Linked DNA regions of Arabidopsis thaliana. The protein of the gene in region 1 interacts with the protein of each later gene in a biochemical or structural test. Each region holds a gene or a part of one and is shown on either strand. Other genes may lie near its edges.

Region 1 (4,572 bases):
ATCGAAATAGTCATTAATCAACACAAATTCAAAGGGTCTTATCCAGGCACTTAAGATTATCTAAGCATTATATAAGATGGAAAGAATAAGCTTTAATTACGATGAGAATATAAAACCATCAAAAGGCCATAAACTTGGAAGCAGCAACTCGGTTCATTGTGCCAAAGTGGGGACCTATAGTGTGCATTCTGATTCAAGAAAGAGATGATCATGACCTCAATTGAAATTGTAAATCATTTTTAAAAAAAGTAAAGGGACTTCATATAGTCTATATATAGCATATTTTTATCATTAAAAATGTTTGTTTAAAGATTCAACTTAGAAATTTGATTAAATACTAGTATTACTTAACTAGTGCGTTCAAATTATTAGTAAACAAGATCCAACCTTACAAAAAAAAATCACACTTTATTGGCACCTCAACTGAATCTTTTATTTTAGTCGTCAAAGAAAAAAAATGGATTCATTCAAGCTGTAAATGGAAATGTGTCACTAAGGCCCATAAATCTATTTTGAAAAAGCCCATTAAAACTAGGTTCTTAAGTCTTAAATTGAAATATATCAATCTACTTTTTTCTTAATAGATATAATTGGTCATCATTAAAATTCTTGCATTGGCTAATTGCAAAGAAGAAATATTCGACATGAAATTTGTACATTTGGTGCTATTGTGGAACGCATCTTTTTTTTCATAAACTTTATCATATAAGAAAGAACTTGAAAAAAAAAGAGATTCTAAAGAAGAAAGATCAAGATGTCTCCAAGTAACAAGTTGCAGAAGATTCAACAGCTTCATCGAGCTCAATATCTCCACAAGTAGAGAGAATTGTTGCAAATATATAATCATCAACTTCAAATCCCTCTGCCTCCATTCTATACATTAGCTTCAATGCTTCCCTGCAAAACCCATTCCTCGCATAACCCATTATCATCGCCTTCCATGAAACCAAGTTCTTCTCAGGCATACTGTCAAAAACCCGAAAAGCTTCCGAGACAAATCCACATTTTGCATACATGTGAATCAAAGCACTTCCCACAAAGACATTTGATAGAGCATGATTCTTCTTTGCAATGGAATGGATTGATCTACCGATAAGAAGAGATTCTGAATTCGCACAAGCTTTTAAAGCCGAGGAGTATGTAAATGGGTTTGGCTCTACACCTTCTTGAATCATCTCTTTCAAGAAGTCTAGCGCTTCCGATTCATGTCCTAAGCTCGAACATCCAGAGATCATAGCGGTCCATGAAACCACATCTCTAGATGGCAATTGCTGGAGAACATTGAAAGCGTCACGAGATTCTCCGCATTTACAATACAGCCACACCAAAGTACTTCCTATATAGACATTCTTTTCGATCGAATTCTTGATAATCTGTGCATGAAGTTCCTTCCCCAACAATAAAGCTCCAACAGATCCACACGCTCTAAGAATGCTTACTACTGTCAAATTGTTAGCAATCAAATGCCGCCTCTTCATTATCCGGAAGAGGCTGATAGCTTCCTCACCAAAACCTTCCCGAGCATGAGCAGCTATAATCGAAGTCCATGTGACCGTGTTTCTATTACTCATTCCATCAAACACTTTTCTGCAATCAGAAATCTCCCCACACTTAGCATACATGTCCATCAGCGAAGTTCCCACAAAAACATCTGTCTTTATCATCCTCTTAACAACCAAGCTGTGTACTTGCCTTCCGAATCTTAACGCTTTCTCCTCACTACAAGCCTTCAAAATACTGCACACCGTAAACTCGTTAGGCAAAAACCAGTGATTCAACATTCCGATAAACATGCCTATAGCTTTAATTCCATGCCCTTTTCTCGAACACGCCGATATAACAGCAGTCCAAGATATCACATCTTTCTCCTCCATCATATCAAAAGCTCGTAACGCACTTGTCAATTCACCGCATTGCGCATAAAAATAAACAAGAGAACTCTCCACAATGAGATTCCCCACTCCAACTTTCACCATATTACCATGAACTTGTCTCCCTAACTCAAACTCTGCTCTCCTACTACACAGATTCAACAAACACACAAACATCCTCTCGTTCGTAAAACGTATTCCATGCTTCACATAATCCTCAAACAGTGCAAAAGCCTCATCCTCAAGACCATACTTCAAATACCCATCAATCATAGCAGTCCAAGTAACAGTATTTTTCTCAGGCATACTGTCGAACACTTTACGTGCATAAACCAAATCACCAAGTCTAACACAAGAACTAATCAAATTGTTCCCAAAATAGATAACTTGATCATCAAAACACTTCAACGCCATCGCATGGATCCTTTTAATGAGTCGCATCCCATTAGAAGACTGTAGCCACTCCGCTAACAGAGCATAATCAACTCTTTCGCTATCGAAAGAAGACGAATCATCCTGATTCACATTCTCTCCTTTGAAACCACTAAAACCCGAATCGAAAGATGCTCTCTTTCCAGAAACTAATCGAAACCCAGGTAATCTCACGTGTCTCTGTTCCTCTCGCTTAGTTCTTGAATCGCTACTGTAACATATCGTCGGAGATTTGTAGGATTGAGTCACCGGAATCTCTGAAATCCGGAGACGCGGTTGGATTAACGATAACGAAAACATTGTCGGCGATGGAGAAAGAGAAGAAGCTTCACACAGAGATCTCCCGCCGGAAAAAAAATCAGATAAAGTTCTCTTTTTTATTTATTTTGGTAAAGAGAATTAAAAGTTTATAATCTGATCTGGTAATTATGACGACAACAAATAATATCTCGGTCGGTTTCAAATTCCTAAGCGAGAGACAAATATACAGTACACACACGACTTAATATCAAAACCAATAAACGTAAAACACGTGTCTCATCACTTCCCACTTTCCTCTCTGCATTTGTTGTCTCTCTCTCCTGAAAACCCTTGAATTTTGCTACACGATCTCTGAAACGTGTCTCTTTGACTGACTTCAATCTTCTTTATCACTTACCGTTTCTGGGTTTTATGAAGCAACTGAGCTAATAAAAAGCTTCTTCTTAGACTCGGAAGAAGATAAAAAACAGAATCTTTATTGTTTAAAGCTTCCAAATTCGAGAAGAGAATTTGAAACGACCAAGTTCAGGATATTCGTTTCTTCGTCTACTTTGGTCTCTTCCTCTTCTCTTTCGAAAAGGGTTTATTCTGTCTTAAAAGAAACCTTTTTGAGAGGGTAAAAAAAGCTTCAATTTTCAGAGAAACACAAAAGGCAGAAACAGAGAAAAACAAATCATCTAATTCATGAAACAGGTGAGAATACATATTTTCTTCTTCCTTGGTCTCTTCTTTTTTTATTGATTTCATTCATATATCCAATTTTTGTGTCTATTGGCTGTTTAATTGTTGACGATGATGAATTCAGTTAGATAATTATGTGCATAGTTTAGGAATTTTTTAGCTATATCTTCTTCTCATGTGTAAACATAGAGGAAAATCTAAAAAAAATATCTGTCAAATTATTGTCTTTTCCAAATTGTCCTCATTGTCCTATTGAATCAAATAAGATTTTTTATTACTGATGATTCAAATATTGTTAATAGTTTATAACCTTGCTCAGTGTTCTTCTGATGTGTGATTTAAAACCTCTTGTCTCTAGGCTCTGATCTATGTTTTCGTCTCAAAGTCTTATTATCAATTCTCTAAATTGCAGGGTTCAATGAATAGATCGTGTCTCTGTAGTGTCTTAATCACCACTGCTCTGATTTGTGGTGCTTACTTCATTTGCAATGCTTATCTTGCTAAAGACTTTAAAGAGGTAAACTTCTTTGTATTTGGCATCACTTAAGATCTATATGTGTTCTATGATACTGTCATTTTGGTTAAATTGTTCAGCTGTCTTTTTGTGTAATCAGTAGTGTTTTTTTCCGACATGTAAATAACATGACATTGTTGAATAATTCTGGTTTTATAGTCAACATTAGAACAATAAGTTTAGATTTCTGAATTTGATGTATAAGATTATAAATCTGCAGAAGTTGCTGAAGTGGGAAATCACTGATAAGATGCATAACAGTACTGATAAGATGCAGAATGCAACAACAACCAGTACATGCAAGGTTTGTCTTTGAAATATTCTTTGAGGTTTGTTTTATGAGATTCTTTGATATTAAACTTACAAATATATATATCTTTCACTAGAATTTCAATAAGCCAGTGGGTACTGAAGCACTACCGCAAGGAATTATCGAGAAAACATCGAACCTGGAAACACAACATCTATGGAACTACGATGACACAAAAAAGGTTATTTAGTAGTTACATGATTCCTCAAAGATTTGGAAAGTTTCATTGCTTTTTTTTCGTGTAGCTTAATCTTTTGCTGTATATTTCTTTCAGAGAAGGCCTAACCATTCGATGAGTTTGTTAGCCATGGCGGTCGGTATCAAGCAAAAGGAGCTAGTTAACAAAGTTATCCAAAAGGTTTTGTTTTCTCATTTGATTGTTTCTATCAGCAAGATTTTCGTCTTTTATTTCGATTAGTTATACAAATTGCTGTGACTTCAGTTTCCTCCTCGAGATTTCGCGGTCATGCTTTTTCATTATGATGGTGTTGTCGATGACTGGA
Region 2 (4,535 bases), on another chromosome or scaffold:
TTCACCACATTGGGGGTCCGATCCGAGGATAACACTGGACAGATGAACGCATACACAACACAATGAGAAAATAAAGGCTTATCTACCAGTAATAGTACAATGAGACCATTGCAAGCGGGTCCTACATTCCAGAATGTGCAATGAGAGTTAAGACATACCAGTCTTATTGATGTATGAATTGAGCTTTAGACCTCCTCTTTTCCTCTTTCGAGTATAATATTTGATCTTAGGCTCCTCAGGCATCTGTGCATAGAAGTGTTAAACCAAAAGGAGAGCCATCTCAAAGATAAATAACAATCATAAACAATACCTTCTCTCGAGTTGACTCATTTCCAAAGCCATTCTTCATTGGCACAGGGGATACCTTTCCTTGGGTTTTGTTCTTTGTTGCAGTTACCCCCAGGGTTATAGGTAAACCAGATTCTTTTTTCTGGAAAACAAAGACCATAGAACAATTTCAGGGCGTAGAAAACAAACAAGGTTATAAAAGAATCCACTAGCAGGGTTATGACCATATACCACATCATCAGCCATCTCATTTCCCGGTGGTTCCTTTGTCTGCACATTTCTGTTGCCGTCTAAAGAAGTTTCTTTCTGGCGTTTTGGCTGAAAATGGAAATAACATAACAACACTTCAATTAATCCTCAAAGATGTCACACTAATTAAACCAAACCAACACAATGTTGCCTGCAACTAGTGATACAATTTACCTTTGTTCTTTTATGCCAAACTCCATCTTCCCACTCCATTGGAGGCCTAATATCAGAGTGATTAAATTGCGATGCCTCCTTTGTTGCCCCGAAACTTACCATGTACCTTCCCTCAAAGACAATTCCCCTGACCACACCTTGACGCCATTCAAAACCACTAAACGCCTCTACATGATCCAGCAATTCATACTTTCCAACAGATAAAGGAGGCTGCATAGGCCTTAGTCTTAGGGAATCAACAATTAAATTTTTCGATTCCCGGCAGCTATAGGACTTATTCCAGTACTTGACAAGAAACCTCTTGTCCTTCTCCAACTCCTTAATGACAATTACCGGAATCCAAGCACAATCAAATCTCAATTCCACCATTGTCCCGCAACTAAAAACAGACTTGACCAATTCCTTCAAAGACAAAAAACAAACATACAACAACGGATAAAGTTAACAACTTTTTCATGCAAAGGCGAAACGATTTCAAAAAAAACTCATCATACCTTATTATCAGGTCGGATCCATTTGAAGCCGGTCCAATCAAGATGAACCCTCAATTTCTTTTTCTCAAACTGAATAATGTCTGGTGGGCAATCGAAGTAAACCAAAAACTTCTCATCCTCCATTGTTTTTACCACCACACCAGTCCACCACCCATCTTTGAGATAAGCGTCGACCATCAAGCCTTCTACAAAAACGACGCCGTCGTTCACATCCTCCGACGGGACAGGACGAATGAACCTCTGATCGACGAATTCCGTTAAAGGAGCCAAACGGTGTTCATTGAGCTGCGTCAAGTAACGAACTTTAAGCTTATTGTGTCCTGATTTCGTTGGATTATCTTCCAGAATCGCTCTGTAATAAGACCCTTTTAACTCTTCTTCTTCAGAAAAAACTTCTACTTTGTCGTCTTTTCTAATGAATATCATCTGCTCCATCTCAAAAACCCTTGAATGAAAACTAATAACGGCTCATTTTTGCTCTGCTAACCCTAAATCTAAAAAAAGACTTTTCTGCTGAAACCCGAAAACCATAGATATGATTATATGAAGGAGACTTTTTGCAACCAAAACACAGTGCTACTGTGTCTGTGCTTAGTGTCGATATTCACGATACACATCGGGGAAAGTGTGTTTTCTTTTTTTCTTTCCCAATTTACTTTTCTTTTTTTTTGGCGCTTGAAATTATGAGAAAATGATTTAAGAAATTATCAGGCCCAAACTATCTAATGGGCCTAATTAAAAACGGTGTCGTTTCATAGGATCCTCATCACGAAGCAGGTAAGTAAAAATATATCTTATCTTCTCCAAAACTCTCTCTTCGATTTCAGCAATTGCAATGGCTTCCTTCACAACAACTTCTTCTTCCTCGCTTCTCCTCAAAACTCTTCTCCCCGTAAGCCACCTGAATCGTTTCTCTACACTCTCTGGTATCCGCGTTGGCGATTCATGGACTCCTCTGCTCCGGAACATCTCCACCGCTGGGTCTCGGCGTCGAGTGGCGATTGTGAAAGCTGCGACGGTGGATTCGGATTACTCGTCGAAACGGAGCAATAGCAATGAGCAGAGAGAGACGATTATGCTTCCTGGTTGCGATTACAATCATTGGCTCATTGTAATGGAGTTTCCTAAAGATCCAGCGCCAAGTAGGGATCAGATGATTGATACTTACCTTAACACTCTTGCTACTGTTCTTGGCAGGTTCGTTTTCGCTTTCTTATTGATTCTCTTCGTTGTTGAATTAGTTAACTAATAGACGACATTTACTTGTGTTGCTAATGGACTTGTCCTTTGATTGAATCCAATGTTGCGTATAGGAAGATTTGGTTTTTTGTTAGATTAGGGTTTTTGATGATACTTTAGGGTAAGGGTTTAGTGAGCTGAGTAAAGCTTTCAGCTTTAAATTTGCTCTGAAGTTGACCTAGTTCCAGAATTTGTTCTTAATATCAGGTGTAATCTTTAGCTGACTTGTTTTTCGTCTCTTGATATGTGCAAACTTATTGAACATTGCTGCATATTGAACACAAAACATTGGTGTCTGATTTGATATCTAAAACTTTGTGCTCTTTAGCGTAATTATGAATGAAATTAGGGGGAAGAATAGAAGCATCTATTTTTGCATATTTTCTTCAAGCTATGTATAAATTGTAGGTGATTGTGCATGGTTTCTGTTTGTTAAAAACTTGATGTGGACAGTGTAAGCTAGTAATGTATGTAAAAGGAGTGTACAATTGTGCAGAGCATTAGATTGGGACTCCTGACTAGAAATTTCTTGGTATGGCAGGGAACGAGTTTGTGTTACACAACTAATGACTAAAACTTTAGTTTATTTGGTGCTACTCTCTATTTTAGAGAACTTTGATTCCGGTTTACACTATCCTGCTGATGTGATAACCAATTAATGTACTTGTGTCCATTTTCCAGCATAACCAGTTCATCGTGTTTGCTTATTATATGTACTTGTGTCTATTTTCCAGCATGGAAGAGGCGAAGAAGAACATGTATGCATTCAGTACCACGACATATACTGGATTCCAATGCACCATCGACGAAGAAACATCTGAGAAGTTCAAGGGTTAGTTAGTGAGCAAGAAGAGCCTTAGTCCCCTTATTGAAAGTTCGTCGAAAACCTTCAAGATACTGATCGTTCTGTCTTTTCATTATTTTCACAGGTTTGCCTGGAGTTCTCTGGGTCTTGCCTGACTCCTACATAGATGTCAAGAACAAAGACTATGGAGGTAACCCATCAAAGCCTGATTTTAAACTTTCTAGGATCTCTCTCTCTCCCAGTATCCATGTTCTGATAATTGAATCGTTCTTTCTCGGGTTTAGGCGACAAGTACATCAATGGAGAGATTATCCCGTGCACATACCCAACATACCAACCAAAGCAGCGCAATAACACTAAGTATCAAAGTAAGAGATACGAAAGAAAAAGAGACGGTCCTCCACCTCCTGAACAGAGGAAACCAAGACAAGAACCAGCAGCCTCTGATTCCTCTTAAACTATAATAAGATAATGGAGTGTTTGCAAGTTTTGATCTTTTGGTTAGCACTTAGCTTGTTGAAGTCGTGTGTAAAATCGTCTAGTACCAAATGATGATACTGTATCATCACACCTTGAACAATAGCTATTGTTATGTTAGGATGAAATTCAACTTGAACCATTTGTTTATTTAGGTAATGTTCGGTTTTGGTTTGGTTTGATTCTTTGTCAACCACTGCTTTTTCCCCACGTTTTCTCAACACCAATTTCAGACAAGACAAAACAATTGTAGGGTCACACACTCGTCACCAACTCACCATCTACATCAGTCGTCCCTACCTTATCAACACATCACATGGAAATAATACACTACTCTCTCACGGACTTGGAACCAAACATTCCAAATTAGTTTAATCGACAGATCACTGCTCAGCTGAATCGTTTTCTCTCATCAACCGCAGAGAAAGACTTTCAAGATCATCCTTCAAGCTCTCTCAAATGGCCAACTTCTATGAGAATTACCAGAGTCCTTACGATTACAATCAGGTTAATAATCTCTACGATCAAAATCATTATCATTACAATCAACAGCAGCAGCAGCTTGGTTTCGAACCAATGAGTTATAATTATTACAACTGGAATGAATCTGAATCTGAATCTGAATATGTTGCTTACTCTGGTTATGATGATCCAATGAGTTATAATTGTTATAACTGGAATGGATCCGAGTCTGAGACAACCTCTGCATATGTTGCTTACTCTGTTTCTACCATGTCTGAGCCTAAACACTTGTTCTATGATCCGAATCTCTATACAACCTACGAATCTCCTCCTCAGTTTAGTATCTA

Evidence for each region.
Region 2: the proteins of AT4G18520 (region 1) and MORF9 form a complex in vitro, tested with the Arabidopsis thaliana proteins (one study listed by BioGRID).

What each region holds. Positions count from the first base shown.
Region 1 is NC_003075.7:10,214,501-10,219,072, forward strand, and holds AT4G18520 (Pentatricopeptide repeat (PPR) superfamily protein), read right to left. Parts: upstream 2,715-4,572; 5' UTR 2,604-2,714; coding exon 750-2,603; 3' UTR 596-749; downstream 1-595. Other genes in the region: AT4G18530 (lysine ketoglutarate reductase trans-splicing-like protein, putative (DUF707)), read left to right, coding at 3,249-3,257, 3,658-3,762, 3,980-4,063, 4,146-4,250, 4,344-4,427, 4,512-4,572. UniProt on the Arabidopsis thaliana protein: Required for proper chloroplast development. Involved in the regulation of plastid gene expression probably through regulation of plastid-encoded polymerase (PEP) dependent chloroplast transcription.
Region 2 is NC_003070.9:3,845,233-3,849,767, forward strand, and holds MORF9 (plastid developmental protein DAG), read left to right. Parts: upstream 1-1,987; 5' UTR 1,988-2,040; coding exon 2,041-2,402; intron 2,403-3,178; coding exon 3,179-3,276; intron 3,277-3,373; coding exon 3,374-3,439; intron 3,440-3,533; coding exon 3,534-3,706; 3' UTR 3,707-3,992; downstream 3,993-4,535. Other genes in the region: DUF2 (agenet domain protein (DOMAIN OF UNKNOWN FUNCTION 724 2)), read right to left, coding at 1-34, 159-243, 311-430, 520-606, 712-1,113, 1,206-1,640; AT1G11440 (uncharacterized protein), read left to right, coding at 4,186-4,535.